Linked DNA regions of Oreochromis niloticus. The protein of the gene in region 4 purifies or fractionates together with the protein of the main gene of each other region. This does not show direct contact. Links are inferred from orthologs where the notes say so. Each region holds a gene or a part of one and is shown on either strand. Other genes may lie near its edges.

What was found.
Region 1: the proteins of cdk2 (region 4) and tfdp1a purify together in Homo sapiens (co-immunoprecipitation; 4 studies listed by BioGRID and IntAct, with this or other methods). This does not show direct contact. The link is inferred for Oreochromis niloticus from reciprocal best matches to the Homo sapiens genes CDK2 and TFDP1.
Region 2: the proteins of cdk2 (region 4) and lin37 purify together in Homo sapiens (affinity purification with mass spectrometry; 3 studies listed by BioGRID and IntAct, with this or other methods). This does not show direct contact. The link is inferred for Oreochromis niloticus from reciprocal best matches to the Homo sapiens genes CDK2 and LIN37.
Region 3: the proteins of cdk2 (region 4) and spdya purify together in Homo sapiens (affinity purification with western blotting; 7 studies listed by BioGRID). This does not show direct contact. The link is inferred for Oreochromis niloticus from reciprocal best matches to the Homo sapiens genes CDK2 and SPDYA.

The regions. Positions count from the first base shown.
Region 1 is NC_031987.2:21,263,758-21,271,037, reverse strand, and holds the start of tfdp1a (transcription factor Dp-1a), read left to right. Parts: upstream 1-4,280; 5' UTR 4,281-4,431; intron 4,432-5,475; exon of another isoform or gene 5,476-5,770; intron 5,771-6,410; 5' UTR 6,411-6,483; coding exon 6,484-6,495; intron 6,496-6,921; coding exon 6,922-6,988; intron 6,989-7,171; coding exon 7,172-7,280. UniProt on the Homo sapiens protein: Can stimulate E2F-dependent transcription.
Region 2 is NC_031976.2:17,552,551-17,560,549, reverse strand, and holds the start of lin37 (protein lin-37 homolog), read left to right. Parts: upstream 1-4,987; 5' UTR 4,988-5,356; coding exon 5,357-5,390; intron 5,391-5,612; coding exon 5,613-5,688; intron 5,689-5,772; coding exon 5,773-5,826; intron 5,827-5,969; coding exon 5,970-5,999; intron 6,000-6,274; coding exon 6,275-6,360; intron 6,361-6,498; coding exon 6,499-6,659; intron 6,660-7,911; coding exon 7,912-7,999. Other genes in the region: hspb6 (heat shock protein beta-6), read left to right, coding at 1-11; proser3 (proline and serine-rich protein 3), read right to left, coding at 474-525, 699-780, 887-1,058, 1,446-1,590, 1,693-2,195, 2,272-2,501, 2,599-2,732, 2,807-2,892 and 5 more.
Region 3 is NC_031983.2:24,030,085-24,037,799, forward strand, and holds the start of spdya (speedy protein A), read left to right. Parts: upstream 1-4,707; 5' UTR 4,708-4,875; intron 4,876-5,471; 5' UTR 5,472-5,519; coding exon 5,520-5,733; intron 5,734-5,826; coding exon 5,827-5,885; intron 5,886-5,970; coding exon 5,971-6,056; intron 6,057-6,199; coding exon 6,200-6,371; intron 6,372-6,595; coding exon 6,596-6,806; intron 6,807-7,414; coding exon 7,415-7,473; 3' UTR 7,474-7,715. Other genes in the region: pcare1 (uncharacterized protein C2orf71), read right to left, coding at 257-3,606. UniProt on the Homo sapiens protein: Regulates the G1/S phase transition of the cell cycle by binding and activating CDK1 and CDK2.
Region 4 is NC_031970.2:24,511,532-24,518,707, forward strand, and holds the start of cdk2 (cyclin-dependent kinase 2), read left to right. Parts: upstream 1-4,170; 5' UTR 4,171-4,519; coding exon 4,520-4,635; intron 4,636-5,250; coding exon 5,251-5,328; intron 5,329-5,434; coding exon 5,435-5,555; intron 5,556-5,665; coding exon 5,666-5,836; intron 5,837-6,010; coding exon 6,011-6,112; intron 6,113-6,195; coding exon 6,196-6,399; intron 6,400-6,635; coding exon 6,636-6,740; 3' UTR 6,741-7,176. UniProt on the Homo sapiens protein: Serine/threonine-protein kinase involved in the control of the cell cycle; essential for meiosis, but dispensable for mitosis. Phosphorylates CABLES1, CTNNB1, CDK2AP2, ERCC6, NBN, USP37, p53/TP53, NPM1, CDK7, RB1, BRCA2, MYC, NPAT, EZH2.

The DNA.
Region 1 (7,280 bases), on a different chromosome or scaffold from region 4:
CTGTTAGTGGCAGACATATGAACAGCTGACCGAAGAAATTTATTTAAACTGCATTAAAACAGCGACATTAAGGAGCTGTTGTAGACATCCAAGATTGATAGGTGACCCCAAAGCCTCAAAAAAAAAAAAAGAAAGAAAGTCAGAGCAGCCATTCTGAAATGTCATTGTAGGGTAAGCACAGGTGTAATAACATTCATCATGGCACTGCTCCATTTAGAAGGGTCTATTGTGCTTGCCAGCTCACTAGAACGACTGATAGACTAAATATAACAGGGTTATAATTGAGTTTAACACTTACATGCTTATTGTAGTATGAGATGTCAAAGTGGTTATTGTGAAAAAGACCTATTTTGATAGTAACCATTAATGAATATGGCTATATTAGCAAGAAAAAATCTAAAACATTGTTTGTAGTGCTGTGGAAAGGTATTGGGTTATGCTTACAGTGTTTACTGAATAAGATAACTAACTTTGGAATAGTTAACTTTAAATATATTTTAATAAAAGTCGCATCCCAGACCTGTTGAATCAAGAAATCACATAAATAAAAACCTGTCTGACAAAGTGAAGTAGGGTAAAAGACCTCAAACAGCAAAACATCATGCAACGATTTAAAGAAACTTCAGAACAGATAAGAAACAAATTCATTGACATCCATCAGTCTGGAAGGGGTTACAAGGTAATTTCTAGAGCTTTAGGACTCCAATGAACCATGGTGAGAGCCATTATCCATAAAAGAAGAAAACCTGGAACAGTGGCGAGCCTTCCCAGAAGTCGCCGGCCTACCAAATTTACCCCAAGACCGCATTAAATCATCTAGGAGGTTACAAAATAACCCAGGACAACCTCTAAAGAACTGCTGGCCTCACATGTCTCAGTTAAGGTTTATGATTCAACAGTAAGAAAGATACGGGGGGAAAACTGCATCTATGGGAGGATTCAATTCAATTTATATAGCACCATATCACAACATCAATCACCTCAAGGTGCTTTACATTGTAAAGTAAAGACCCTACAATAATAAAGAGAAACCTCAACAATCAAAGGACCCCCTTTGGGCAAGTGCTTGGTGACAATGGGAAGGAAAAACACCCTTTAAACAGGAAGAAACCTCTGGCAGAACCAGGCTCAGGGAGGGGCAGCCATCTGCTAAGACCAGTTGTGGGTGAGGGGAGAAGACAGGACAAAAGACATGATGTGGAAGAGAGCCAGAGGTTAATAATAACTAATGATTAAATACAGAGTGGTGTGTAAACACAGTGAAAAATGTGACTGAAGGAGAAACACTCCTTCATCATCAGAAGCCCCAGCAGTCTAGGCCAATTTGCAACAAAACGGGGCCCTAACTATATTCTTAGTCAGCAAAAAGGAACATTTTAAGCCTAATCTTAAAAGCAGTCTGTCTCCCGAATTCAAAACTGGAAGCTGATTCCACAGAAGAGGGGCCTGAAAGCTGAGGGCTCTGCCTCCAACTGTACTTTTAAACCTAGTAAACCAGCAGTCTGAGATCAAAGTGCTTTATTGGTGTGATATTGTACTGTGAGGTCTTTGAGATTTGATAGGGCCTGATTATTAAGGACCTCTGATGTGATGAGAAGGGTTTTAACTTCCACTCTGGATTTAACAGGGAGCCAACGAAGGGAAGCCAGCATGTGAGAAATACGCTTTCTCTATCTCTTCCTTGTCAGTACTCTTCCAGCATTCTGGATCAACTGAAGGCTTTTCAGGGAATTTTATGGCAGCCTGATAGTAATGAATTACAATAGTCCAGTGTAGAAGTAATAAATACATTAACTAATTTTTCAGTCTGAGGATTTTAATCTAATATTGGAGATGCTATGTATGCTATGCCTTCTAATGATACTACGTAAAAGCATGTATAATATAAACAGAACTGGTCCTAGCACTGAACCCTGTGGAGCTCCATAATTAACCTTAGTGTGTGAAGAAGAGTCCCCATATACATTAACAAACCAGAGTCACACAGAGAACACAGAGATGAGTCCACTGTCAGAGGCCATAGGAAGATCATTTGAAGCCTTCATAAAAGCTGTGCTGTGATGGGCTCTGAAACTCAACTGAAACTCTTCAAATAGCCATTCCTCTGCAGATGATCAGGTAGCTGTTTTACAATTACTCTTTCAAGGCTTTTTGAGATAAAAAAGAACGTTGGACATTGTCCTATAATTTGCTAAGACCGCTGGGTCAAGTGATGGCTTTTAATATGATAGTTTAATTACTGCCAGCTTGAAGGCATGTGATACATAGCACATTAATAGAAATAGACTGATCATATTTAAGCTTTAACGATAGGACTTTGAGCAGTCTTGTAGGAATGAAGCCTAAAGTGCATGCTGATGGTTTGGAGGAACTAATTACTAAAGTTAATACAGAAAAATTCCAAGGAGAAAACCACCGCTGACCTAAAAGACCACAAAGGCTAGTCTCACATTTGCCCCAAAAAACCCATCTTGATGATCCGTAAGACTTTTTGGAAAATATTCTGTCGACTGACAAGACAAAAGTTCAACTTATTGGAATGTTTGAGTCCCATTACATCTGGCATAAAACTAATACAGGATTTCATAAAAAGAATATCAGAGCATTGGTTTATGCATCAGCCCCCCCCCAAAACAAACAAACAAACAAACAAACAAAGAAACAAACAAACAAAGAAACAAACAAAAACAACATCCAAAAACGTTTTTTGAGTGACCTAGTCAAAGTCTGGGCTTAAAGCCGATTGAGATGCTTTGGGATGACCTTAAACACGCCATTAATGCTCTGAAACCCTCCAACGTCGCTGAATTAAAACAATTCTGCAAAGAACACCAAGGCCTTGGTGTTCCCCCGGAAAAGGTGGAAGAGGTAACTAGGGAAAGGGAGTTTTGCTTAGGGTGTTGCCCCCACAACCTGGTGCCAGATACACATAAGAAAATGGATGGATGGATGGATGGATGGATGGATGGATGGATGGAGAAAATCTACCTTGCCCAGCTATTCAAGAGTCACAAATACATGACTCATATGATAATTCAAGCAAAGAAAGGCAAACGGTTAAACCCTTATGAGCTAAGAAAAACATTTGTGATTACTTTATTAAAAAAATAGTATGGTAACAGGGTTAAATAAGAGTAACAGGGCTGCACAAGATAACGGGGTTGAACGGATATATTACTTTTACTTGTAGATTATGACATATGTGTGACAAATAAATACTCAGGACTACACAGAAATGTTGTTTAATAACATCTTATATATTTTTAACATGTTTGTAATGTTTGTTTTATATGTACAGTAACAGGATTGCAAATCAGTGCTAATATTAGAGTTTTCTCAGAAAAAGATGTAAGCTGATAGTTGACTGTGAAAGTCAAGAATAAATATAGAGATGTAAACAAAGGAATTAAACTTTCCAATTACTTTCTCTTTTGGTAATATGAATATCAGGGTTTGCATTGGCTGGAATGACACAGTCTAGTTAGAAAAGACTGGAAAAAATACAAAATATATCACAGAGGACTGACCTTCAATCTAACCACGGTGTTAACACGCGGCTCAATCGTGTCACTGACTTTTTGTCAAGTCACTCACTGTTTGGCCTCTTGTTTTTCCAGCCTAAATAGGTTTCAGTAACAGGGCTGCACATAGGTTTGCAGTGCGTAATTACTCTTCTTTAATATATGTTGATGTTTGCATGTTGTAAGCTGATGATGAACAAAATCAAAACAAGAAAAAAAGTGGATTTATAACGATTTTTAGCTGTTATAAATTAGTTATCGAGAGTTTGGCAAGAGAAAAAAATGCTATTTTGATAGTTCTCAAGAAGTATTTTGTATTTATATAATATTTTGGAATTGGAACCAACTTCACACTACAAATGTATGTTGTAATCTTTTGTGCCTGGACTGTTTTCAAATTCATATGGGGGAGCAAAGAAAATCTCCTGCATTTGTACAATGGCTCACTAATAGTGACAATAGTGAGTGTTGAGACCTCTCCAGTGCACTTGCTATTACTGATTTTTGCACCAAATCAGGTGAAATTGTTTCACAATGACTCATGGCTTCCTAACTGGACAGATTTGCATCCCTGAAGATTAACTAACTTTGTGTTAAATCTTCGATACTCTGATCCCTTACGTATTTTAAGACTTGTCATATTTACACATTTTTTATGGCACACTCCTGTGCAGCAGACGGCGCTGCATGTATCACGAGGGCTCTGGTATCCACCAATCCAAAGAGCTCCAGGTTGTGGGCATGAACTATTTTGACCGCTTTGCTTTCGTCTCATTCGTGCTGTCCAATCAAGCTCCACTAAAGCGAGGCACCGCCAAGATCAGATTGTGAGAGACGCTGGTGTAGCAAGGCTAACGGAAAGTCGATAGGAAAGGCTAGCGAGCAATCTGTTAACCTGTAAGGTGCACCGGTAAGCAGCATTCACTCACCTGCAGCTTGTCACTCAGCTGACGCATATGATAGAAACCGACGTTAAATATCTGTATGACCTTCTATTGTTTGTTAAGTATATAGAATTTTTTTTTTACCGCCAATAAATACAAAGCTAGCCGTCGAGGTAAACTTGTAGCTAATTCTGGGGTTGTCGATGACAGCTGGGGGTTAGCTTCTGTGCTAACCCACTAGCTAGCCAGTGAGCTAACAAAGCGCTGAAGCACCTACTTCTTGAAGTGCAATCGCGAGTTAGCTCAGTGTTGAAATAAACATTTTGATAATAAAGACAAGTACTTTTTGCATTGCATTTAATACATCCTCTTTCAAGTCGCTAACCTACGGCATGTAGCTGACTGTAACGAAGTGAAGAACAGAGCTAGTTTTGCGGTTCACGATGATTGTAATCGACCTGATTACAGTAACGTACTTGTATTGGATCCGTATGCAACGGTTCGTTTGGAAACGAACCTTATAAAAACTAATATTTAAGTTTTAGACACCTCAAAATGGCCACCTTTCTGTTAATTTAGCGTCAGGAAAGTATTCGTAAGGGTCTTCGTGTTTTATTAAGAACAAATAAGAAAGGTTACGCGATTAAATGCGTGGAAAAATAATAATAATAATACTAAGTCGAGTGTTTTTAAATGTAACTTCCAGACAACAAAGTGTGTTATTCATTAGTTAGCTATGTGTGTTGATACTGGTTACTACACTGGCAAAAGGAGGTCAGCGATTGACAATAAAACACAATAAACTCACGGAGTATATGCAGCTGCCTGCAACTGGTATTTCAGAAGTTGTGGTTAACTGTGGCAAAACATTTTTATCGTCTGGATTAAATCCACCTTGCTGGCATCGATGGCAAACTTTGTTTACTTTTTAGTCTGCTTGACTTGGAAACGATCACTCTTTGTACAGCTAACACACAGCAAGTTATGCAAATCCTGGCATGGCTTGTTGTATTAAAAAATAAGCTTAAAAGTGAAATACTCAAAGTAAATACATTATTTCGTACTTCAAATGAACTATATAATTGTTAAAAAGTATCTCGACATTTCTTAGTTTGTTTCCTGTTTAGTGGGGATTTAGACCTCCTCTTCCTCCATTCTCAAATGCCAACAACAACAGCCGTCGAGGAGACAGAGTGCACTCGTAAGCGCATACAGTCACCACAGTTAAGCTCATTCATCGTGCGAAAGGCACGTTCACTATTTTAAGTGTTAACCCATGGTGTAGTGTAGCTGGGATCTGCAGCACGGAACCAATAATCGCAACATTTCTACATGAATCGTCTCAGAGCGTGCAGGAGCTAACTAGTAAGCTAAGACCAGCAAGCTGGGTCTACCGCTAGCTGTTAGCAGCTAGCTGCGTCCAACAAAAGATTGTTCGTGCTAATCGACATATAATATGACCGCTGTTACAGTATCATGCAGCCACAGTGCCTGGAGCCACATAGTGCTGTCTCTGTTGCGACATTATCAGTTTAGCGCTGTTGTGGTAAAGTTCGCTTGTTTGCGTGACCTGTAGCAGAAGTTGGACGGTGCCTCTCCTCCGGACGTGCTCGGTACCTGAAGTAGGCCTTGTGCACACTTAGCGTAGTAAAAGTTGTGAGCATCAAGGGATGGCTTAATATGGTTTCCCGCATATCTAGAACATTTAAAAGTACTGCTCGGTGGCTCGTTCACGTGAGATTGGTGTGAGAAACGTACATTTCTGCGCATTTTGGCTTATAAAACAAATAGTGACGCTAACATTGGTGATGTAGTTAGCTTTCTACAATGTGCTCTTAGCAAGCAGACCAGATGGGCCTTACTTCAGAAATAAGTTTAAATTTCATCTCCAAAACAAAGTGAAACACAGCTTAGCTTGGGAAACAGTATTGGGAAATATGATGTTTGGGTCAAACTGTAATTTTGTCATTATTTAAGTAATAGTTTGTTCTCTTTCTGTTTACAGGGGTCTGAATAGTGACTGGCAGAGGAAAAGTCTTTTTAACCCAAAGCATACCTCTTTTCGGTCCTTTGGGATCATGGCTAAAGATGTAAGTAAATATATACATGGTTTCATGAGAAACATCAGGCTATTTTGGCTGTGTCACCTAGACTGTAGCTAATTTTGGGTCCTTAAATTTACTGGCTGCACTTAGTCTTGTAGCGTTTTCTTTTTTCTTTTTTTTCTTTTTAAATAGACTGTGGGATTTGTTTAGTGATTTCATAGTGGAGTGGTTTATACATTTGCCTTACAAAAGATCCCCTGTTAGGTCCTGGAAGGTGACACAGTTCCACTGAATCAGGAAGGGCATCCATCCAGCATAAAAACTCTGCCAAATCAAACTTGTACAACTCACTGCGGTGACCCCTCATAAATAAGGCATCAGCCAAAAGTAGCTTCTACTGTATGTTTGTTTAACTGGACTCGTCTTCAATTCTGTGGTTTCTGCAGTATATTAAGTTGTTCTCTTTTACAGGCTGGTCTAATTGAAACCAATGGAGAGCTGAAGGTTTTCATCGATCAGAATCTGAGCCCTAGTAAAGGTATATTTTGTGAATACTTGCCTACAGAAATTGTGCATATGTGATATACAGGGCATTCTAAGCAGTATGTACAGTCTAGTTTAAGAGGCAGCAGGGCTGTTTGTTGGTAGGTGGACAATAGGGGGCAATGGTGTTTCATTCAAAAGCTTCCCTCATTAATGATCTTCTCATGTCTCCTATAAGGTGTCCTGTCCTTGGTTACTGTCCAGCCCACAGCTGCCCCTGTGGCCAAACAGCTACTACCCAAAACCCTTGGGCCATCCAATGTGAACGTCGCTGCACACATGCAAAA
Region 2 (7,999 bases), on a different chromosome or scaffold from region 4:
CTCTTACTTAAATTGCATTAACAGCCAACACTAAAACCTCTGCCATCCTTACCATACACAAAAATAAATCAGCGGAAGTCTGTATGGCCACACTGACAAAAACGGCAATAACTTCAAGCTCCTGCACTCCCAGCAGAACTTGATGTGTGCCAAAACACATATCTGCTCTGTTCCTGGCACGGTTCTAATGTTCCCTGCACTCCAAGGTTTGTATATACTGCTCTGCTAGTACTCAATGTTACATAATGTTTCAAGTAACCACTCTACTTTGTAAATATTCTCTGTTGGCATTTCCAACTCCTGCTTTTTGTGTGCAACTTTTGTACATGCACAGTGTTGTGAATAATAATCCACCGAGACACATCTCCAACCTTTATTGTAGAAAAATGTCCTCAAAAATATAAATTAACTTTATTTCTTTATAAAATAAAAAATAAATAAATGTGACTACAAAAACTGTCTCTTGATGTTCTTCAAGTAACTTGTTGCTCTTCCACGAATTCATTTAAGATGGAGTCCACCTCACTAACAAAACAACAACAACAACAACAAAAAATCATTCTTTTTCTGGCAATCGACTCTGTTAACATGACTGTCAACCGATTCAAAGAGATTTTAAGAATAAATTAATGCTAGAAATATACACAGGAAAGGATTCTAATCATTACAGTAATGGTGATAATCTAATTCCGTTTTACCTGATCTGCTCCTTCACCCATTTTCTCTGTTTGCGAAGAACTTGTAGCAAAGGATCATCTCCAAACTCTTTTTCATCCGAATCTAAAACAAAAAGTTTAATCTGAGTGAGAGGACAGATACTAAAAGCATCTATTTATGCAGCTGTTTACGGGCTAAAGACTGGTGCCTTTTGCCACCATAAGCTTACCTTCGGCCTCTTGGAAAAGCTGTGAAATGACTTCCATAGAGTTCAGTGCATTGCTTGGAGGAATTGGCGATGGTGAAGGTGCAGCGACGGTGAAGGAAGGAGAATCAGATGAAACAGGAATCCTTTTCGGAGAAGAGGAATCCACCGTAGGAAACAGTACCTCTGAAACTACCTGTTAAGGTCAAATGAAAACACCCAAGTTAATGCATATTAATTACCTTGATCACATTGAACCTTATGACCAGTTTGGCATCCAAAAAATATGTGCAGACATGCATAGTGAAGGTAGACCTGTAATTATATTCAATAAAAACTTGTGTGTATTTTATTTAAATATTTAATATATACAGTCTCCTAAAGACCAGATCTGTCAATGGCCTTTACAAATGATTAATTAAGATCTGTAAACAATCATAGATTGCCAAAGTCTGAGAACAAACACACAGCTTTCAGTTTATCAAATATACTGCAGAGAAAAAACCCCCCCAGAAAGCCCAAATATGGACACAGCCTCTGTGGCTTCAAATAAAGAAATAAAATTGCACATTTGCATGTTTACCTGTCCTAATGCATTGTGGATAGGGGATGGTGGTGGTTCGTGATCACCAGCACAGCTTTCACTGGGAAGCTCCTGTCTTCTCTCTGGTTGCTGCTGCTCTTTACATGATGTGACCTTTTTGGGAAGCTTTTGATGTAATGAATTCCTGTTTGTGAAGCATAAATCCCACAAAATGTTAACGGTATATATCAAACACATATTTTTATCACCAAGACTTTTAAACAGTGCCCATGTTTCAATAATTCACCTTGCTGATTTCTTATGCTGTCTGGCGAGCACTGCTTCCTCCTTCCCATTTACCTCTGATTGCTTCGTCCCCGTTTTCTTTTTCTTGTTCTTCTCAGACATTTTTTGGTGATCAGGCCACTCTCTCTCAGATGGCGTGGGTGGAGTGAGTGACATGCGTTCACAAAGAGTTAATTCTCCAAGGCTTTCAGGGACTTGGGTCTTTTTGTGAAGAACTTTGGTTTGTGACTCGTCTAACCTTTGTGAAATGCTCTGGTGCACTTTGGCATGAGATGACTGGATGGGACATGGCAAGACGTCACAGAGAAAATGCATGTGGGAAGGAACGTGGGCAATGCTCTGCGGCTGAGGGACTGAACCAGAAACATTGATGGTGGGGAATAGTGAAGGACCTGGAGCTGGGGGACAGAACCTCTGGGCCTCTGTGGTTTCTGGCTGGGCAGCAGTGATGTGTGAATGAGTATCTCTTTGTGAGAATTGAGGAGGTTGGGTACCCTGCTGTTCCTGAAGAGCAAATTAATGTTATTCTGTAAATTTGTGCAAAGAATATGGATAATGTAACAAACAGTTTGATTCCAACCTTGTAAGCTTGTTCACTAATGGAGGGATAGCTTAACCTCGTTGCCTGCCAACTAAATGCATGAGGACTGGAGGCTTGCACAGACAGGGGCCTCTCTCTGGCTTGCTCCATTTTCCTCCTTAAACGCCACTGGAACAATATGTCTTCCTCTGGACGGGTAGGAGGCACCAAAGAAGGCATGACAGATTTTTGGAAGGACACACCATGAGCTGAGTCTGAGCTGGCCTTTGCTGTAAATGTTAACACACTGTTTAAAACACAGCAGCACGCAAAATAGAATCTGTCTATAAATAACAAAAGGTATTCTAGTCCACACTCTTTCCCTACCAGTAGTATTTTTGAATAAACTGGGAATCAAAGGTTGCTTCACTGGCTCATCTATACTGATGGGATAGGAGAAATCTGAGCATCCCAGCCCCTCTGAGCTGACAGGGACAGATCCATCACTCACAGAACATTCACTGTTAGAAAAAAAAAAAAAAAGTTAATACAACTCAAGCCATTTATCTTTAATATTGCTCAACGGTCTTCATACCCCCTCAGAAGAAGTCTGCTGGCCTTTTCTTGAAGGTGCAGGATCTCCCTGTCATCAAATTCACCCTGGGATGTGTCGGACAAAAGCTGGGAAACAAAAAACACGTTTTTTCATATAAAGACTTGCAATACTGTGTAAATAAATCCTCCCAAATAAATAAATAAATAAAAGGATTTTAATTAAAAGGGTGATGCATTTGTTCTTAGCAGGCTGAACAACGTGTCAAATCTGGTTGCATAAACGGCGACTTCCCAGGCATTTAATAAACACATAGACCTCCAAATGGAGTGTGGTGCTGAAATGGAAATGTTTATATGCAAACTTAGTCGGAATAAAGTGTTGCTTCTGCAAACAATCAGAATCCCAGGCACTTTGGACATGCGTGGTGTAAATCAAGGGACAATGTAAACCCCATAATCCACTGTGACATCATACACAAACAATAAAAACTGAATAATTGGTGGTGCCTTTTCCCCCTATCTTATGGATCTGTTATTTTTTCAAGAAACAGAAGCACATTTGCTATAAAAAAATTGATAAATTATGGCTTATTTCTTCTTAGCTTATAAATACAACTTACACTATTGGATCCTCTGTAGGGAGAAAGGGATCTGTTACGGTCACGCTGTGCAGATGGATCATAAAGAGCAGGATCCTGGTCCTCTTTCAGAAGTTGGATAACATCTTTTCAGAGAAATGAAGTACACAGAAAGATTTGATAGAATTAAGCAGCTGGTAATGGGGAATAAAATACACCAATGACTGTAAATAAAGTGTACCTTCGTCTGTTGTTTTAGTTGGTGTTGAACTGCTGGGTGATGAATGTGACATCCACCAAAAAGGAGCCTGCTCTTCTCCACTGGCAGAAGCCACCTGATGGCGCTCCTCTCGACTCTGTGGGCGACCATGGCGAAAACGCTCTACGTATCTGGCAAAGCAAAGGTCAGATTTGGTTACAAGAAGTCACGTGCAAAATGAAATAAAAATAATCAGGGTCACTATGACATTGTCATATTTAATCATGAAAAATTGTCCCGTTGTCATTTTGAAACTATTTTTTTAGTTCTGTTTAAGAAAATTACATAAGGCATTAAGACATACTTTGCCAGCACAGAATCCTCCTGGCCTCCTTGAACTTGGGAAACACTGGATTTCCCCATTTTTCCAGACTGTTTGGGTTCGTCCATGTCAGATGAGGCAGTATTTCTATCAGGAGAGAATCCAACGACAGTGGAGGCCTGGGACTCTTTAAGAACAGGTTGTCCATCAATGGAGGAAAAACGGTCATGCTTCTTAGACAGCTGCTGGCTCTCTCGGTTTAGATTATGTAACTTTGTTCTGGATCGCTGGTTTAAACGTACAGGACTTAGTGTCTGCAAGAAGAACAGAAAAGGGATATATATATATCACAATGAGAATCTGTTTTTCTTGCAGTATATTAAGTGTTTTTGACAATAAAACATACAGTTTTTTTCTCTTTCTTTGAGAGGGGTTGTTTGCTGGATGGGTGGTAGTGTGCCGTCCTCACTTTGGGTGCTGCTGGGAAGGGATTCTGCTTTGTGAACACAGGTCCACTGTAAGAAGAACACATATTACTAACTATAACTTCTTCTGTTTAGGGTGCTACAAAATGTGTCATTAGATCCTCACCTGGAATTCATAGCAACCTTTGGAGGTGACCGATGAGACATCAACGACCACAAGAAAGCACACACAGTCCTTGTTTCAACGTGGGCTTGGTTTACCTCGTGCACCCCAAATCATATCAGGACTGACGTGTTAATCTGAGTGGGTTACTTAGCTAACAAAAAGACGATGGCCCCATTACTAAACTCTTCCGAGTTTACTTGTCTACACACAAAGTTACTTCAAATGCCAGAAATTCCCTTTCAGAATATAAATTACGCTTCTCCGTTAGGCTCTATGAACATCTATTTATCATTCCAATTTAACGTTCTGACTAAAAACATAGTAACTTCGCGTTTATTTTACAAACCCAGTACATTCTCGATGAAAGTGGAAGAGAGCTTTTGTTGTGTATGCCGAACGTTATTTACTACACGACATACAGCCAATAGGGAACGAATTAAAAATGATTGATATAACATTTGACCAATCATATAGGCGGCCCTGTTTGCACAGGCACCAATCAGCTAATAGGAAATTGGCAGCGCGCGGAAGAGGAAAGTCTAGTAAGGTTATGCGTTTGTCAAAAATAAGCTAAGTTAGCAACAGTAGTTTGGCCATTACCCTGCAAAGCTTGGTATAAATCATAAACGACTGCTGTGCTGTATCTTTCTATTAACTATATGGAAGTCGATAGGGATAAATGTTATTTGCTTAATGGTTTGAATAGCGTTATATAGCTTAACTGTTAACCAGTGGTTACAGCTAACTGGTTGTAAACGGTACCCACAGCTAGCTTGGCTAACGGCGCCGTTAGCAAGGAATCAAACATAATTTATTGTAAATCTAAAGAACCGAAACAGCAACCGTGTGGTTTTACAAGTCCGTCAGTTCCCACGGGGTGTCTATAGAAAGGCGGACACAATGCAACACGTCAAGATCAAGACTGAAAGGCCAGGTAACAGCAGCTCTCAATATTTCCTGAAGCCTTGTGTTTTCAGCTTTTCCAAATTTTGTGTGGTACAAATTCTTGTTTTGGATTGTTTTGGAGTACATTCGCCTGTAAGTTTGAGTGGTTCGGATTATACAGGATTCTTAAAAGCTAAGTAATACAGGGGGCGAGTGTCACCCAAAGTGAGTATTGTTGTTGTCATTAATTATTTCGTTATTACTTCTGCAGACTTAGACGGGGCTGGTGCGCGCAGCAAATTAGATGCTGTCTTAAAGGGACTGGTAGAGAAGAGCGAAAATGAAAGGTTAGCAAAATTAATTGTTGTGCATATAATTATTATAGAATCGAGTTATTCTTAATAACAAAACTAATATAAACATGTTTTCAGCAGGGAACAAAATGAAGGTGATCCGGGAAAATTGTCAGCCGACTCTTTGAACAAGTATGGACCAGTGATTTTGGTTTTATTTAGTTTTTAATGATCTGTTAATAGAATATTTTACAATTGGGTGCGCTGATTCAATGATTTTACTTCAACATTTATTTTTTAATTGCAATTTATGCATATTCCACCATTCTCTTTAGGGATTTATCACCGACATCTGCTGGAAAAAGGCAAGTATTTATGTTTTAGTTAAACTTGACTTGTCAGTAACTTTTTTGTAATTACTAAGTAAGTAAAATTTTATTTATATAGCACCTTCCAATACAAAGATCACAAAGTGCTTCACAAAGAAATACCAAGGCATTTAAAACAGGGCATATTTAGACTTTTTTATCATTTTGTCTGGAAATAAAAAATATAATTTTACTTGAATTGTATGAGAAATTAGTTTGAATCTCTTTTAAGCTCCAAAAATTTATTACTTTAAAAAATCTATTTGTTGCAGACCGTCGGCTCGATTTCCACAGCACCGGAGAAAGAAGCGAAAAGAGATGGATGAGAGCATTCCAGAAAGCAATCAGCATAAACAAAGTAAATTAATGAAAATAATGAAAAATGATTGGAATTTGTCTTTGATGTGCCTTGGTTACTGTGTAACCATCTTGTCTGTTGCACTTGTGACCATTTTCTTACCTTTAATTTATTTTTCTCTTGTTCTCCTTTTAATAGATGCCTACGTTATCAAGTTGTTTGACCGCAGTGTGGATCTGGCTCAGTTCAACACCGCCACCCCACTGTATCCTATCTGCCGTGCATGGATGAGGAATAATCCTTCCGTTCGAGAACCAGCTGCTTCCCCCAGCTCCCCACAGAGCATGGTAGAGGAAGAGGTAGGATCATAAATGGATTAGATGCTGGAGATTTTATTCAAATGTACAACCAACAAATGTACAAAAAAACACAGAGGCACATTGATTTAAAGTTATACTTCACTCATGCATCTACAGTAAGTTAAAATGAGGTCTTTTACATTTTGCTAATGTGGAACTTTGCAGGGTAGAGTGTAAGGGCCCTTTCACATAGGATGTGGGACGCGCAGCCCTGCGCTCTGAAACCCGTTCATTTCTATTGCTTGCGCCACACAATAACGTTGTACTGCTGTGCCAACCAAAGCGCTGAGCAAAGCACAGCCCAAGCGTGCCAGCGAGGAGTACTCGTGCATGCACTGCGTGTTGTGACTTACCTTCACGTGACCAATAGAAACAATGCCTACAGCTGCTCTAAGTTTAACCAAATGATTAAGGAAAACATTCTGTGTGTATCTGAGTTTGATGAACTTTTTGACACAGGTTTATGTGCATATATAGGGATCTCCAGAGCCTTTGAGTAAGTCTTTCATTTCAGCGACTTTGGGGACCTCAAGAGAAAAGCAGTGTTGAGGAAATGACACACTCTTGACTAGTAGGATAGTTACAGGTTTCTTCTTTATGAATGAACAATACATTTAAAAAAAAATTTAATTAAACATCTTGCAGACGATATGATTCAGAGACATACATGTTTTTTAATGTAAAGGAGCAGACGCATCTAGTATATGTAGAGCGGCCGCAAAAAATGACGCACAAGCAGAGCGGCCAGTGCAACACAAATTTGGGGTCCTTCGCTCTAATTAGCGGTTAGCGCAGGTCATGCCCCATCTCATGTTAAAGGGCCTTAACTCTTTTGCAATCTCATAATTTGATCATTTCCTGATTCAATCAATTGTTGTTTCACAAGGTCTAATGTAATTAATTAAATGTAATTAAATTAATTGTTAATTTCATTGCAGTACACTGTGTGCCAAACTATTGTCTTCTTTTGTTTGCCTAAGTGCAAATGTAACTGACTGTTACATTTGCATGTTTTAATCAAGGTTATCTGAATAAGATATAATGAAACTGTTTTTAATGGATGATCCCTACAGTGACGATATTTTTGAGTTGTTTGTTTGTGAGGTGCACTATCTGATTGTGTACTCGTACTTTTGTTTTAGTAAGTGCCCCCCAAAAACAAAATGGCATGTTATGGCATCACTAAGTATTGTTGTTGGAAATAAGCGTTTAGCAGTAATCTTTTTTTTTTTTTTTTTTTTTTTCTCCCTAGGTTACGGACACAATCAACGGTAAAGGTCAGAATGTGTACCGACTTCCTCCTCCGACTGCCTGTCCAGTCAACTCCTCTGGTGAACCCA
Region 3 (7,715 bases), on a different chromosome or scaffold from region 4:
TTCCCAAGTGGACCCCTGTCACTTAATTGTTACGTATGTTATTAATACTGTTTTTTTTCCCCAAAGCATAACCAGGTAGGTGTTTTTAAAATAAAATAGGGCAGCTCCTACCAAAGAGAGCAGAACTGATTTTTTTCATAACATTTGTCCAGAATTGCTCTCAGAACCTTATATAAATTTAAGGTAAAAAAACAAACAAACAAAACAAAGTCATGATTAATCATTTAAGATAACCAGAAATGTGGTAAAATCTCACCCCTGTGAACATATTGCTGGTTCACTCCCACAAGTCTCAGCCACTGAGATGCGTTGTGATCGTTGTGGCAGACTTAGACTCTGCCTCCGGTCTGAATGGCTACGTCTGATAAAGGGTCGTGGCCCATGGACAGATGCAGGAGTCCTCCCACGTGTCTCAAAAGTACGTAAGAGGAATGAAACTTTGGTTGAGGTCCATGCTTGCGGGGGCTTGGTTACTGAACAAGGCTGGGCTTCAAACATGGATGGAGAAACGGGACAGAAGACTGAACGTGCATTACTAATTGTCCTGGCACTTGATGAGTCTTCACTGCTATTTTCCCTTGACCATCTTTGTATTTTTGGCGAAGCTGGGGGAGATGGTGCTTTGAAAGGGTATGAAGCGACTGAGTTTGAGCTCGAAATGTTCTGCTTTGAAATGGGTGGGCTGGGGAGTCTCCTCTGAATAGCAGGTGGTGTATGAAGTGTTCTGTTAAGAGAGGGGCTAGATGAAGAGGGTGGAGTAGGCTGATTTTTGAAATTGTGGGGACTGGGAAGTCTTCGATGTAAGCTGCTTGGAGTAGAAGGTGTGGAAGGCAACATTCGCCCTCTAGACACAGGTGGGGTGGCAGGTGTTTGGCTAGTCTCTACCGAAGCAGGCACAGAAGATGCTGCGGTGTTGGATCCAGGCACTGAAATGTTACCACCATCTTGTATGTCTCTCAATTCTGTTTGAGTGGCAGACGGTCCTACATAACTTGTTGACAATTTCTCTGACTGAGAGTCTGAAGAGGGTTTTAGTTGTATGCTCTTTCTGAGTTGCTGATATAAAGAATCCTTTTTGATTTCCAAATCTGCCCGTTGTTGAATGTCTGGTTGATTGACCTTAGACAGAGGAAATGTGTCTTGTTGTTCCACTCTAACAGGGGAAATGTGTTTGGAAGTTTGTGGCAAGCCTCCTTTGCTTGGCAGTACAGTCACTGACTGAACTGAGGCCTTCAATCGTTGTGATATTACACCCCTTTTCAACAAAGGTGATCTTCCTACTTTTGTTGCACCATCTGCTGCTACACTAGCTGATGTACTCTGAGCGCTTTCAAAGGAATTGTCCAGTAATACTTCTATTGCTGGTGGAGGAAGACTATCCAGATCTAAATCTGTTTTCTCACATGTTGTAGATTCAGACCTACAGCTAGTTATGCCAGCAGTCAGCACGGCTTCTACATTTCCTAAACCGGGTAACACTGGAACACCACATTTTCGCACACCTTTGAGAGGCCCCAGGACTTTAGGACCTTCTAGTTCTTCTATTCCTTGACTGAATGTATCAATCAGTTTTTTGACTGAATTCCTACCTCTTTGAAGGCCAGAAGATGGCTGGGGTGATAAAGGCGGGCTAGGAGGTGGAGTTGCTTTTATAAGACCCTTGGGTATATTCTTGTCTTTTTGTTTATCATCATCAACTTCACTGGTTACCTCCTGTTTTTTACTATTGGACTTTGTAAGACTTGCCTTGTCTTTAGGTGGTTGGGGGTTGTTTTTCTTTTCTAATGAGGGCTGTCTCCGATTTATTGCTGGAGATTGTGCTGGTGAGTTTCCTTGGTTTCGTTTTAAAGGATCAGTCCTTGTTTTTCTTTCTTCTTTGCTTTTATTTATGCTCTGCAATCTCCGGTTTAAATCTTTCTGGGTCCTTTCTAGTTCAAGAAGAGTAGGATCTTCCCCTTTGCTCCGTAGGGAATCTGCTGACCGGGAACGCTGACCCCTGTTCACTGGGGTCTTTTTCACTTGTGCCTTTCGTACAAGTGCTGCTGTTTGAGGCCTCCTTGGAGATCGTACCTCATCATCTGTCCACTCCTGTGTGCTAGATTTTGTGCTCTCTGATGCCTTTGTTTTAGAACTAGGGTTTTGTGACGATACAAACTGTATCCTACCACTTATTGCATTTTTCATTTTCATAGTCATTTCCACATTTTGAGGATTTTCTATCCTCTTTGGGGGTAAACGTCGAGGTTGTTGTAGCTCACAGTCTACAGGAGAACAATTTGATTGTTTTTGAATTGCTTCTTGGATATCTCCTATATCTCTGTCCACCTCATCATAATCATTGACATCCTCTTCCCCGTACTCTGTGGAGACAGATCCTAGCAATGAGTCTCTTTGGTCATTAGCCATTATGGTATATGTAGAACCTAGTGAGTTGAGTGAGGTTAGGGACACACTGGGACTTATTTGACCCCGAAGCCTTCTCCTTGACACTCTTCGCACAGGACTGACAGGAGTAGCTCTATTTGTCCCGGTAGACTCACAACTCTCTCGTCTTTGGCGTCTCTCAGATCCAGCAAGGGATTCATTCTCAGCCCCAATTCCACTGTCCTCACTAAAGAGAGCTGAATCCTCTGGCCCAGGCTTGTGCAGAGAGGCCATTTCAATGCGGGATAAGAGTTGCATTAACCTACTCTCTGTTGCACGTTTGACTTTAAGTTTCTCCTCTAAAAGCTCTGAAACTGAGGCAAAATACTCAGCTGCCTCTTCTAAAGCACAGTCCCCAATTCTTCCAACAGTCTGGCTCACATTTCTCATTCTCTGTGTGGTGTACTGAAGCAGCTGCTGCAACAAATCCGGTGGGGGTTCGATATTAGGAGAGCCAGACTTCAGAGGGGTAGAGGATGAGAGATTTTTCATTTGGCTTGGCCAAGCAAGATGTTCACCATTTTCTTTTAAAATTTTTTCTCCCTCCTCCACCATGTCTTCTAGTCCCTGAATTATTTCCTCGTAACGTAGAGCCATGAAGGCAACCATAGGCTGAACAGAAACCTGAGTTTCAGCTGCTTGTTCTAAGAGTCCAAGCAAAACATCATATTTGTTTATGCTAGGATTCAAAAAGGCATATGCAGCTTGGTGAGCTTTTACCAAGGGTTCTGGAAAGTCCACTTTCTGCTCTTCAGATAGTTTGTCTTTGTCTTTCTTTTTAAGAACTTTTGCACCTTTGGCATTTTTCTTTGGTTTCCTGTTAAGCCTTTTGTCTGCCACATCCTGTTTGTCATTGTTTTTCTCTTTCCTCTGTGATACTGCGCTTTTTTCTGTTGCTTGATTCCCCAGCTTATCTATGTTAACTGCTTCCATATTCACTTGCTCGGTATCAAGCCTCTTTTTCTGTGGTGTCATGTGTGACTCTTTCTGAAGTACCTGGGTTTGTCCACCTGTCTTCTTTTCCTTTGTATCTCCATTTGTAGCTCCAGATGAATCATGATTTTCACCATCTTCAAACTGTGGATCTCTGGAGTTGTCTTGAGGTGCAGGGGGTAACATTCTCCCCTTCCTCATGGCACCCAGAGTGCCAAAATTGTTACCTTTGGATGGTGAGCAGCCCATTTCTGCTGTACAGGGTGATTTTTTCTCTCTTCTCCCTGGATGACACTAATACAGACAGTGCAGTAAATTGTGTAAAAAATAGCAAAGATTCTTAGCCACCAGCTGTCATTTTCAGATGGCTGATGTCGTTGACTCGTTGAGTAAGATCCCTTTCCGCAACTAGACTGCCAAAACAAAACGTGGATAAATCCATTTTACAAATTGCTTCCAACTGTCACAGACAGACAAAATAAATCCACAGTTTGGTGGCCATGTTTAATAAAATTTCCTTGGAGCATGTTCGAAATAAACATCCCTCTGCACCTTATGAAGGACAAGCAGCTGAAAGGATTAGTGAGTCTTTCAGTGAACTCCTCAGCCTGCACATATGTCACGTTAAGTCATATAAAACTCACCTACTTCTAAGAACTTAAGCTCATTTGGGTAATGAAGGCTGGCTTCAGGTGGGTTTTTTATAGCCTGCGAAACAATACATCCTAATTTAGCCAATAGAAAAAAAACAGAAAAAAACAGAAAGAAAAACAGAGCATTTTGTTTTCATCTGAATTAGAAAATGTGCCACACTGATTCTATTTTATCTACATTTGACAACATTAAATCAAATATAGTTGCATATTACACATCTTTCCTTTCCCCCCCCTTACTTAAATAATCAAATGAAATGAGAACAAACCACCAAAACTAACTACTAGACTAAATAAATAAAGTAGGAGTAAATAAAGTTTATGATTTACTCCTTTGTGATTTTGCCTCCTAACAATTAACTTGCAAAAGTTTCCCTTATATAAGATCAGTTATCCCCAACGTAAAATAACCGTTTGTTACAGCACCTTGAATGTAACTCAAACACAATAAACAACCACAAAACACAGAAAAAAATAGCATAAATAAGTAGATTGGTAGCCTTTGTTGTCTAGTTCAACAAAATAAAATGAAATATAACAAAACAAATATCTCATTAAGAGAAAAAGTCATTAGAAACTGAAATGTGACTTTTACAGTCTAAGTGTTTGGTGTGTTTTTAATAGTGTTCTTCATATTTACATTGTTCGGCATGTTAATAATAACTCCACACAGAGATCGCCATAAGCAAAGAAAAAGTGGCGCCACTACGTGCTCGTCCTCGCGCGCAGGTGCACCGCTGGGTGATTGGCACAGATCTCGAAGCGCGCTCCAGAAACTGTCAGAGCTGCCAACTACTATCTCGTCCGGTCAGCGTCCTGAAGCGACTGCTTTATACTCACTTTCATCTTTTAAAACGTGTTACTGGTTAGTATGACAGTTAAGCTTCTCATAAGAACAACACTTATTTAATCTTTTAGCGTCTCTTTGTGCCGCTAAAAACAGTCGTCACTTAAATTGGGTGATTTTTTTTTTCTTGATTTTTTTAGTCAGTTTTCTAGCTAGCTGAAAGCTTATGTTGCTGAAGAGCTGCGGGCTTTCTCTTTCTTTTACTGCCTATTTTTAATGACGTACAGATAACCTGCCTAACTTTAAACAAGTGTGTTATTCGGAAAAATGTATTATTAAATAATGTCCCCATTTTGCTACGCGGCAATCCAAATCATTTAGGGAAATTAAGCATACGTGTCATTCTAGTTTTGCTTTAGCCACGCTCATCAAAGTCCGTATTGATAGAGACACCATAGCAGACCCCTCCCCAAGGCCCTTAATTTTTAAATTGCGTCTCGAAAAATGTCTGAAAAGAGAGAAACATTTAGCTCTTTAAATGTTTTTTGAGCGCTAATGATGGTAAGAAGCTCGAATTTGGCACACTTTAGTGGACCCCTTTGACCCTGCCCCAAAAAACTCTGACAGACTAAAGTGATGATGCTCACTGCTCATACTTTTTCCCTCATTTCCAGTCATAACACACCAGAGGCCTCCTTTCTGCGGATGATTCAAGCTGAAGCATGATGAAAACTCCTCCCTCTGTTACCCTTCGGGTCAAACGCAAATATGTTCGCCAAATCAGAAGAAACCTCAGCCTGAGCAGACACAGTGGTCAAAACACCCAGGGTGTGGTGTGGAGTATCCAGTCAAACCAGGGCGACCTGTATTTTACCAAAGTGCCTCAGTCAACTGTTGTCCAGCGGCAGGAAATGGCAGCATATTTCCGTCTTTTTGGTAGATAAATATTCTAACAAGAAAGCAGGATGCGCTCAAGAAAATGTGAAATTTGGTTTAAATTCTCATTTATTAACATCTCTTTGTCTACAGAGGATGACCTGATAAAAGACTTTCTAAGGTTGGATGGTTGCTATAAATTGACAGACAAGGTAAAGTTATTACTTTGATGAAAGCTACAAAACTTTCTTATGCTTTATATTAAAGTGACACCATCTTTTCCCTCTATTTCATCAGTACCTCCTAGCCATGACCTTTGTGTACTTCAAAAGGGCCTGCTTCACTATTACTGAATACACCAGAAAGAATTTTTTCATTGCACTGTAAGTTCAGAGAAAAGCCTGAAAATCCTGCTCCTGTATTATATTCTGTCATGAAAAGGAAACCTTGTTTGCTTCTGCTTTTATATGTGATATTTCTTGGCAAACCTACAGCCCTGAACTCTGCTCTCGCTCTCCTCCTGTAGGTATCTTGCCAACACCATGGAGGAGGATGAGGAGGAGAGCAAGTATGAAATTTTTCCGTGGGCATTGGGCAAGAACTGGAAAAAACGGTTTCCCCGCTTCCTTGAGCAGCGAGACAAGCTGTGGGCTCGCATCGAGTACAGAGCTGCTGTCAGCAGGCGCTGCTGTGAAGAGGTACACACAAGTATAATTGCCTGAGGAGACTGATAAATGGTGCTTCTCTGGGAATTTTTAAGGGTCTTGTTTTTGCTGTGCAGTGCCATTTTTATTGCTTGGGTTTAATGCCAGACATTCCATCTCTAGTGTCTGTGGGTGTGTTTTGCAGTGACATGATTTATTTATTTTGTTTGTTTTTTTTTGTTTGAGCTGTATTTATTTCTTCGACCTCTGTCTTCTAGGTGATGGCCATTATGTCCTCTCATTTCGTGTGGCAGCGGCAGCGTTCCGATCACCATGGCGGTGCCCAGCGACAGTATAATGATGGCGACCGTGTCCGTTTTCCCCGTGGGCCCTATGCCTCACCTGTGTCCTGTTCCCTCTGTAAGCGTGACACCAGAATAGGCCACAACTCCTCCCTCCAGAGGCTCAGCTGTGCAAATCCCAAAGGAGGTACCAAGTACATATAACTATTGCTGGTATCTGTGTTCACTGTGTGGTTTATAGTGTAAAGAGCTGCTCAGTATAGGATGCCCAGTTAAGTTTAAAACCTACGTTCAGGAAGCCCTGCAATCCAAACTGCAGAAATAATTTCCTCTTCAACAAAAACACATAATGTTAGTGTTTTTTGCACTTGAACCTATTGTCCCATTAAGTGGATTAGTGGGAGCATTCACTCACTCATCCAAATAACTGAATTCAGATGTTCCAGTCACTTCTATTGCTACAGGTGTATAAAATCAATAGCCCCAGGCATGCAGACTGCTTCTATAAATATTTGTGAAAGAATGGGTCACTCTCAGGAGCTCGGTGAAGTAGTACTTTGATAGGATGCCCCCTGTGCAACAAGTCCAGCTGTGAAGTTTCCTCACTACTAAATATTATATAGTCAACTGTTAGTGGTTTTATAACAAAGTGGAAACGACTGGGAACAACAGCAACTCAGCCACAATATAAGGAACACAGGACACTTATTTACAGTGCTCGTATGTATACTGATAAAGCTCTGCAGTTAAGATTTAAACTCATACCTAACTACAGGTTTCCATCTTTTTTCTTAGGGAATGATTCTTCCGGCAAGTCCACATTGAACACCTTCATGGACTGGATTAATGAGTAGAGCATCAGCGACTTCCTGTTTAAATCAACCAAGCAGTTAATGCTTCCTTTACTGGATTTAATATCACTTTACTCTGAAGTAAAAGTCTGAATCCACAGTTTGTCAGTCGCCTCTAAAGTTAACAAGGTACTCAAAACATATTTTAAGTACAAGTGACAACGATGAGCTTATGTCATTTAAAACAAGCAAGTTGGCTGTTTGTGGACACAAAACCCCAAAAGATTGTTAGTGTGAAACCTAGA
Region 4 (7,176 bases):
TTAATTGAAAATAAAATGTGAGTTTATTAGATCTGCAAATTTTCTAAATTTGTTTTTATTTTCATTTTTTTTACAGCTTTCCAACTGAGGTTGTATTTCATAAAACTGTTAAAGAGGAGGAAAAACACTTTTCAGACTAATTTATTACTTATTACACACAAAATACATTCAGGTATAACATGAAACATGTTAAATCAGTAAGAAGGTAAAGTGTAAAATGACTGCTTCCCTGCTTTTAGTATCACCCACTTTCTAATTTTCCATTTTCAGTTGTTTTATTAATTGTTTGTTTGGGTTTTTTTTTTCTTATTTCCACTTTGTGTAAATAAATTCTTATACTTTATACAGAGTAAACTTAATACGGAGTCATTTTGACAGTGATGTTCTCTCATGCCTGTGAGACTATTCAGGCTGCACTACATGTGACCCCTCATGTGCTCCTCAACAGAGTTCAGGAGGAGAAAAAGGCCTCACACGGAGCACCTGACTTAACATACCACATACCATAAATAGGCTCATTTAGTCTCTACTTTTTATTATTTTAATAAATTTGTTCCTGGGTTTCGGAGAATTTATGGAATTAACACAGAACCTTGTTTCGTGAAATCTGATCATTTTCTGCACAAATTATTTGACATTATAAATATTTCTCAATTGCACTTAACAACAAGGCCTGTAAAGCCTGGAATCCTCAAAAACTATTTCAGCACAATCAATATAGAGTGTGTCAACAAAACTGAAGTCAAACAGTCACACAGGCTTCTCTTTTCACGCACTATTAGAAACTGAGGGATGTGATTTAGAACTGACCCCAAACCAGATCAATAAAGCCATCTGGTATATGAAAAGTACCAGACTAGACAGTCAAATCAGTTCATGGCCACAGCAGCCATCAGTAGTCATTCAGCGTGTTCAAATGGCTTAAAACAAACTCTCCTCATTTTTTTTTTTCATCGTTTGTATTTTTCCACTAGACTAACACAAAAAGAAAATTTGCCTAAAGAGAAACCTCAAACCAAGGTAAACACGTACAGCACAAACACAAAACTTCCACTGACACATGATGGAGCATGTAGTGCAGAACAATCAGCAGGCTAATCTGCTGTATACAGGACCTGCGCCAAGGCTGCTCATGATTCACCATCAGATTATTCAGGCTGTGGGAGATCTCCTGACAGGAAACTTGCTTCCTAATTACCTCTGTCCACACAGATTATGAAACCAACTCCTCTAAACTGCAGGGAGAACGGGGAAAATCTGAATCCTCCTCCAGACACAGAAAAATATTCAGACATGTTACATGCGTCACTTTCTGTGGATCAGTCGTAATTTTACTAATGAGTGATCAGAGAATAAAAATACTCTCATGAAATGAGAACTAACATCTTTGCCGTGCTGAAAGACGTCACTTCACATATAAATATGCAACGTGGAGACGTGTTGGGCCTGCGGGCTTCGATCATGTGCAGTACTGGAATGAATGCTTTCTGTGTCTCTTAGCACCAAATGAGGGTGTTTCTTCATGCCGCAGGGGGAACCTACTGACTTAAACACAATTGCGGTTAAAATTTCAGATCAATATTGACCTTCTTTAAAGCAGACATCTGGCATACCAGAGAAGAACACGGGTGTTACCGATAACATTAACAATGAATGTGTGTCTTTCAACAACTCTGCAGCATAATCATATAACACCAGATTAGATCTACTACTATTTACACTCTTTACACTCATAATTTTGCTAATGTGATAAATCAAAATACTCTTACCATCACTAAATCCTTACAGATTTAAAGGTTTGTGACATTGGCACTGTGAAATAATCACTACCAACAACCATGCCACATTTAAATTCACTTTACCCACCTGTTTTCCTCATTCTGATGTCTAGTTTGAATTTCCGCGGGTCGCTTTGACCATGTCTATGTGCCCAATTGCAATGAGTTGCTGTTATGTGATTAGCTGATTATTTATTTGCATTAATGAGCAGTTCAGCCTGTTTGCCGAATGAGGATGATGGTGAGTGTATAGCTCTATATAACAAAGTATTGTATTTGACAGACCTGTTAAAGTCTTCCATTATAACTTTATCACAGCCAACAGGTGTAATTTAAAAAAGAAAGGGTACTACTTATGCCCTGGTTAGAGGCTAGCTCAGGGTTCCTTGTTGTTCACAAACCACAGGCAAGCTTTAACTGGTACCCAGCAGGTCATTTTGGCCCCTGAGGTGAAGAAAGTGTTAAATCCAGTTGCCCCTTTGAAAGAACACAAAGGATCTGCAGGTGGACACACATGACCAGACCCTTTTCAAAGGTATTATTTGAGTACACATGTGTCCTATTACACTGTTGATGCTGCACTGCGTTGAGGAATAATTGCTATATCAGATCCATCATTATGTCTGTTAGTTTAGTTTTTCAATCAAAACAGAGAGCAAGAGAAAAACAGTTAAAAAACAGAACTTGGAAAGCATTGCTCCATAATCCAGTGGGTCATTACAAACACATCCTGCCACTAAAAGGAGCAAATTGTTCTTCTTTTTTTTTCACTCTCACTGTGTTTGAATAACTTAGAAAGTAAAACGTCTTAGGATTAGGAAAACAGCTTTCTAACTTTTAAAATTGCTGTATGCGTGGCCATAAGATGCAGAAGAAATATTATAGATGTGAAGACAACTAATGTTTTTATTATGCGAAACACAATGTTGCTCATGCTTTTTATTTTGCATTGGATTGTGTATATGTTTGAATAATTGATCATATTTGTGCAGTACACATCTATAAAACTGTGACTTGTGGCTAGATTCATAGATAGAAAGACAGATTCATGAAATAGTATGCCTTCTGTACACTTTATAATCTGTTCTAGTCTTTCCGACTAGTGATGTTCGATTCGTGAACGAATCGTACAATACTCGAGAATCACTTTACTGACTCGTGAATCATGATTCACAAGCACAACTGACTCACTGACTCATCCCTGTTGCTGTTAGCGAACTAATTCCATTAGTAGAAATATATCTAGCTTATAATTAAAATTGTGGGGAAAAAACCAACAGCCAGTTTCTTAACAAAAACATTTCTGCTCTGAACTGGAAGAAAAAACCCTGAGTAGAAGCTCACATCAAGACAATAGCTCCTCAGTTCACAGTAGCATCGCTCAGCTAGCATGCTAACAGCACATTTGAGTTACTCACCCCCTCCCTTGCTGTGCTGAATCATAGCATAAGCGAATAACTCAGGACTCACTAACCCCCTCCCTCCTGGCTCACAGCTCAAATGAGTTGAACGAATCACCGAATCACTCACCCCCTCCCTTGCTGTGCTGAATCATAGCGTAAGGCGAATCACTCACCCCCTCCCTCCTGGCTCACAGCTCAAACGAGTTGAACGAATCACTCACTCACTCACCCCCTCCCTCCTGGATCACAGCTCAAACGAGTTGAACGAATCACTCACTCACTCACCCCCTCCCTCCTGGCTCACAGCTTCTTCTTCTTCTTCTTGGTTGGCAACCAATGTTGAGGCGCTTTACCGCCCCCTGGCTCACAGCTCAGTGGACATTTAGATGAGAAAATATATATTTGACACATTTAAGGATAATACCAATAAAATAAAATAAAAATAAATAAATGTTCCCTTTAGAATTTTTTTGCTCTTTTTTGCTCTAAAGAAAATAGTTGTTTTCTTTTACAATCATTCATCTTAGCAGTAGGATTTACATTAGAAGAGAAACAAATTAAGTTTGAGTGAAAATATACACTTTTGCACTCTCTGGTAAACTGACTCAGTGACTCAAATGACTCAAGAAACCCGATTCACTTTGGTGAGTGAAACTCGATTCAGTAAAAAGAATCGAATTTACCATCACTATTTCCGACGTAGTTTACGTATAACGACGTCGCCGTCCAACCATGTGACCTGTGAGGGTGTTTGTTAAGTGTATCCTTGTTATCCCGATACGACACCCCTCTATAGCACGACTTGCACCCTTTTGTTAAACAGAAGCTAAGAATTTAAAATTAGCCGATAAAAAAAATGTTTTAAAATTATTTATTTAATCGATAAGAGCAGTACCATGCATAACAATTTTTCAAATAGGACTCAAAGTGAAAAGCCTTTAGACGACCGCCCACCTACACCTATCGGTGTGTCTGGAACACAAAAACGAACGCCTCCAGTGTAACGCGGGAAAGGCTGTTGTGTTGCTTCTGAGTTTTTTTTTCAAACGAGACGCCACCGCCGCGCGAAACCACACATTTTACGGATATTGTTATGAACAGCGTCTGCAAATGACCCTTTCTTTTGTTTATAGCTACTTCGCGCTGACCTGAGATAGTTTATCCTCAGTCAGAATTAAGTCTTAAACCTGTGGCGCGTGCGGACCGGATGAAGAAGCCTTGAGCAGCAGTTACATGGTTATATGCGAGGTTTGCCTCAGTAGCTACCCAGCAGTCGTTAGCTTCGACACAAAGAGCTAAAAGGCTAATTGCCGCTTAAAGACCTGCGTTTGGTACGAGATGGACTCCTTTCAGAAAGTAGAGAAAATTGGAGAGGGCACGTATGGGGTGGTTTACAAAGCCAAGAACAAAGTGACGGGAGAAACTGTCGCTCTGAAGAAAATCAGGCTGGACACGTAAGTAAACAAACTAATGTTGTTTATCCTCGGGTCACCAGACTAACGTTAGTTTTCAAGTTTTACTGTGCGTAAGAGTTGATGAAACTAGTTTACCCACCTCGTGGCTCCATCAGGGCGTGACTGCTTCATCGGTTAACTTCCTACAACCACACTGGACATAAGGCGCAAAGTCTTCATGACCACAGATGGAGCAGTCCTTACATAGGACATCTACATAACCTTACAGCTCATATGAGCTTGTTGTGTTGTATTAACGTGTAACTTGTTATAATATAAAAACATAATCCCTAAATAACAGTAAAGTGTCCCAAAGCTAAATCATCATCATTTTCCACAGGCTGCATAAGAAAACCTTACTGAAAATTCAGATGTGCCATTAGTCAAAGTTGCTTGCTTTTTGTGACCTTTGTTTCAAACCAGAGGAAGCTAAATCATTGACGTGTCTTATCTTTGTGTTTGCTAATTTGTAAGGCGCACTGCTTAAAGTACACAGAGTAGTGCTGTTGTTTCTTTCAGCTTTCAGGACTTGATCAGCTGTCAAACCGCCAGGATACTAAAGTACATGCTTTGCTTAGATAAAAACCTGTTTCTTTTACTGTTTGTTCATTTCAGGGAAACAGAGGGTGTACCAAGCACAGCCATCCGGGAGATATCGCTTCTCAAAGAACTCAGTCACCCAAATATTGTCAAGTAAGTGCTTTATGTTACAGCTATGTCTAGATCATGCTTGCAGTATTCTTGTTTTACTTGTTTGATGTTGCTTTTCTAAGCCAACTTACCTGTCAACATGTTCCAGATTACGCGATGTTATCCACACCGAGAACAAGCTCTATCTTGTTTTTGAGTTTCTTCACCAGGATTTAAAAAAGTTTATGGACTCCTCCTCAGTCACTGGTATCCCACTGCCTCTAGTAAAGGTAACCATCACAGCAGATTTGAATTAATACTTTCAGCAGTTAATTCTGCTAAGAATTGTACTCTGGAAGTCAGGCTTGACTCAACCGAGCATATATTGCTGTGTTTGCAGAGCTATCTTTTTCAGCTGCTGCAAGGCCTGGCTTTCTGCCACTCTCACAGGGTTCTCCATCGAGACCTGAAGCCCCAGAACCTCCTCATCAACGCCCAGGGTGAGATCAAGCTGGCTGACTTTGGCCTGGCAAGAGCCTTCGGAGTACCCGTCCGCGCATATACACATGAAGTAAGGCGTTCACAACCTACCTAAGTAAATGTTAGAGTTATAAAATTATAAACGGCTAGAACTCCAGATGTGCTTGCTCTGCTCTCATGTGGTCTTTACTATGTAGGTTAATGGCACCTAAAATTTCTTAGCTCAGTGCATGCCACAACTGTTTGCTCCTGTGATGTTTTTCAGGTGGTAACACTTTGGTACAGAGCCCCAGAAATTCTCCTGGGCTGCAAGTACTACTCCACAGCCGTTGACATCTGGAGTCTTGGATGTATCTTTGCTGAAATGGTAACATACTTTAATTATTAACAGCAAAAAAGAAAAAGCTCCAAAGTGAACAAAAGACACCAACCATGTCTCCCTGCCCACAGGTTACCAGGAGGGCTTTGTTCCCCGGTGACTCGGAAATAGATCAGTTATTCCGAATCTTTCGTACTCTGGGAACGCCTGACGAGACCGTCTGGCCCGGAGTCACATCCATGCCTGACTACAAACCAACCTTCCCCAAGTGGGCTCGGCAGGATTTATCAAAAGTGGTGCCTCTTCTTGACGAAGATGGAAGAGAACTGCTCGGGGTGAGAACATTTCTGATTTATTAGCACTTTTATTATATATTCATGGCCAAAGACATTGGTCCTCTATCTGCTTTGCATATCTAAATATTTTCTCCTGTGAAAGTGTCCCTTTCAGACTAGAGAGTTGAGGATTGTGCAGCTTGAACAGTGTCATGAACTCCATGACTTGTGTTAATTTTTGACTGAAGCACTTGGCTGTATTCATTGACTGCTTTTCCTTTTTTTCAATCTTACAGGAAATGCTGAACTATGATCCAAACAAAAGGCTGTCTGCCAAAAATGCTCTTGTGCATCGATTTTTCCGTGATGTCTCCATGCCACTTCCCCACCTCAGACTCTGAGTCGTGCAAAATAACAGGCTCTTTTAATGCCAGCTATATCTAAGCAATAAAGACTCTCCATGCTTCAGGTTCATGACTCAAATGGACGGGAAAAAGTGGACACTACAGAACACATTGGATTCTTCAGTAACTAAAACCAGCCCTCGAGAAGCAACTTGTCGTGAGAGTTTCACTGTTTCAATGTATATCATAATTTTGAGGATTTAAGTGTAATTTTCAATATAATTATTTTGCATATTTATATGCAACTTGTCATATTTGAAGTATTTATGATGGGCTTTGAGTCAGCGCAGGTTAGGTAGACCCATTCTATTTGTATACCATTATAGTTCCAAATTTTAATGGTATGTTGTCTTTAGCATGTCCATCTTGAAGTAATAGGTTAGAATTAAACGTGATCAAACAAGTTTGTGGGGTAGTGCAAATAACGGTGGCT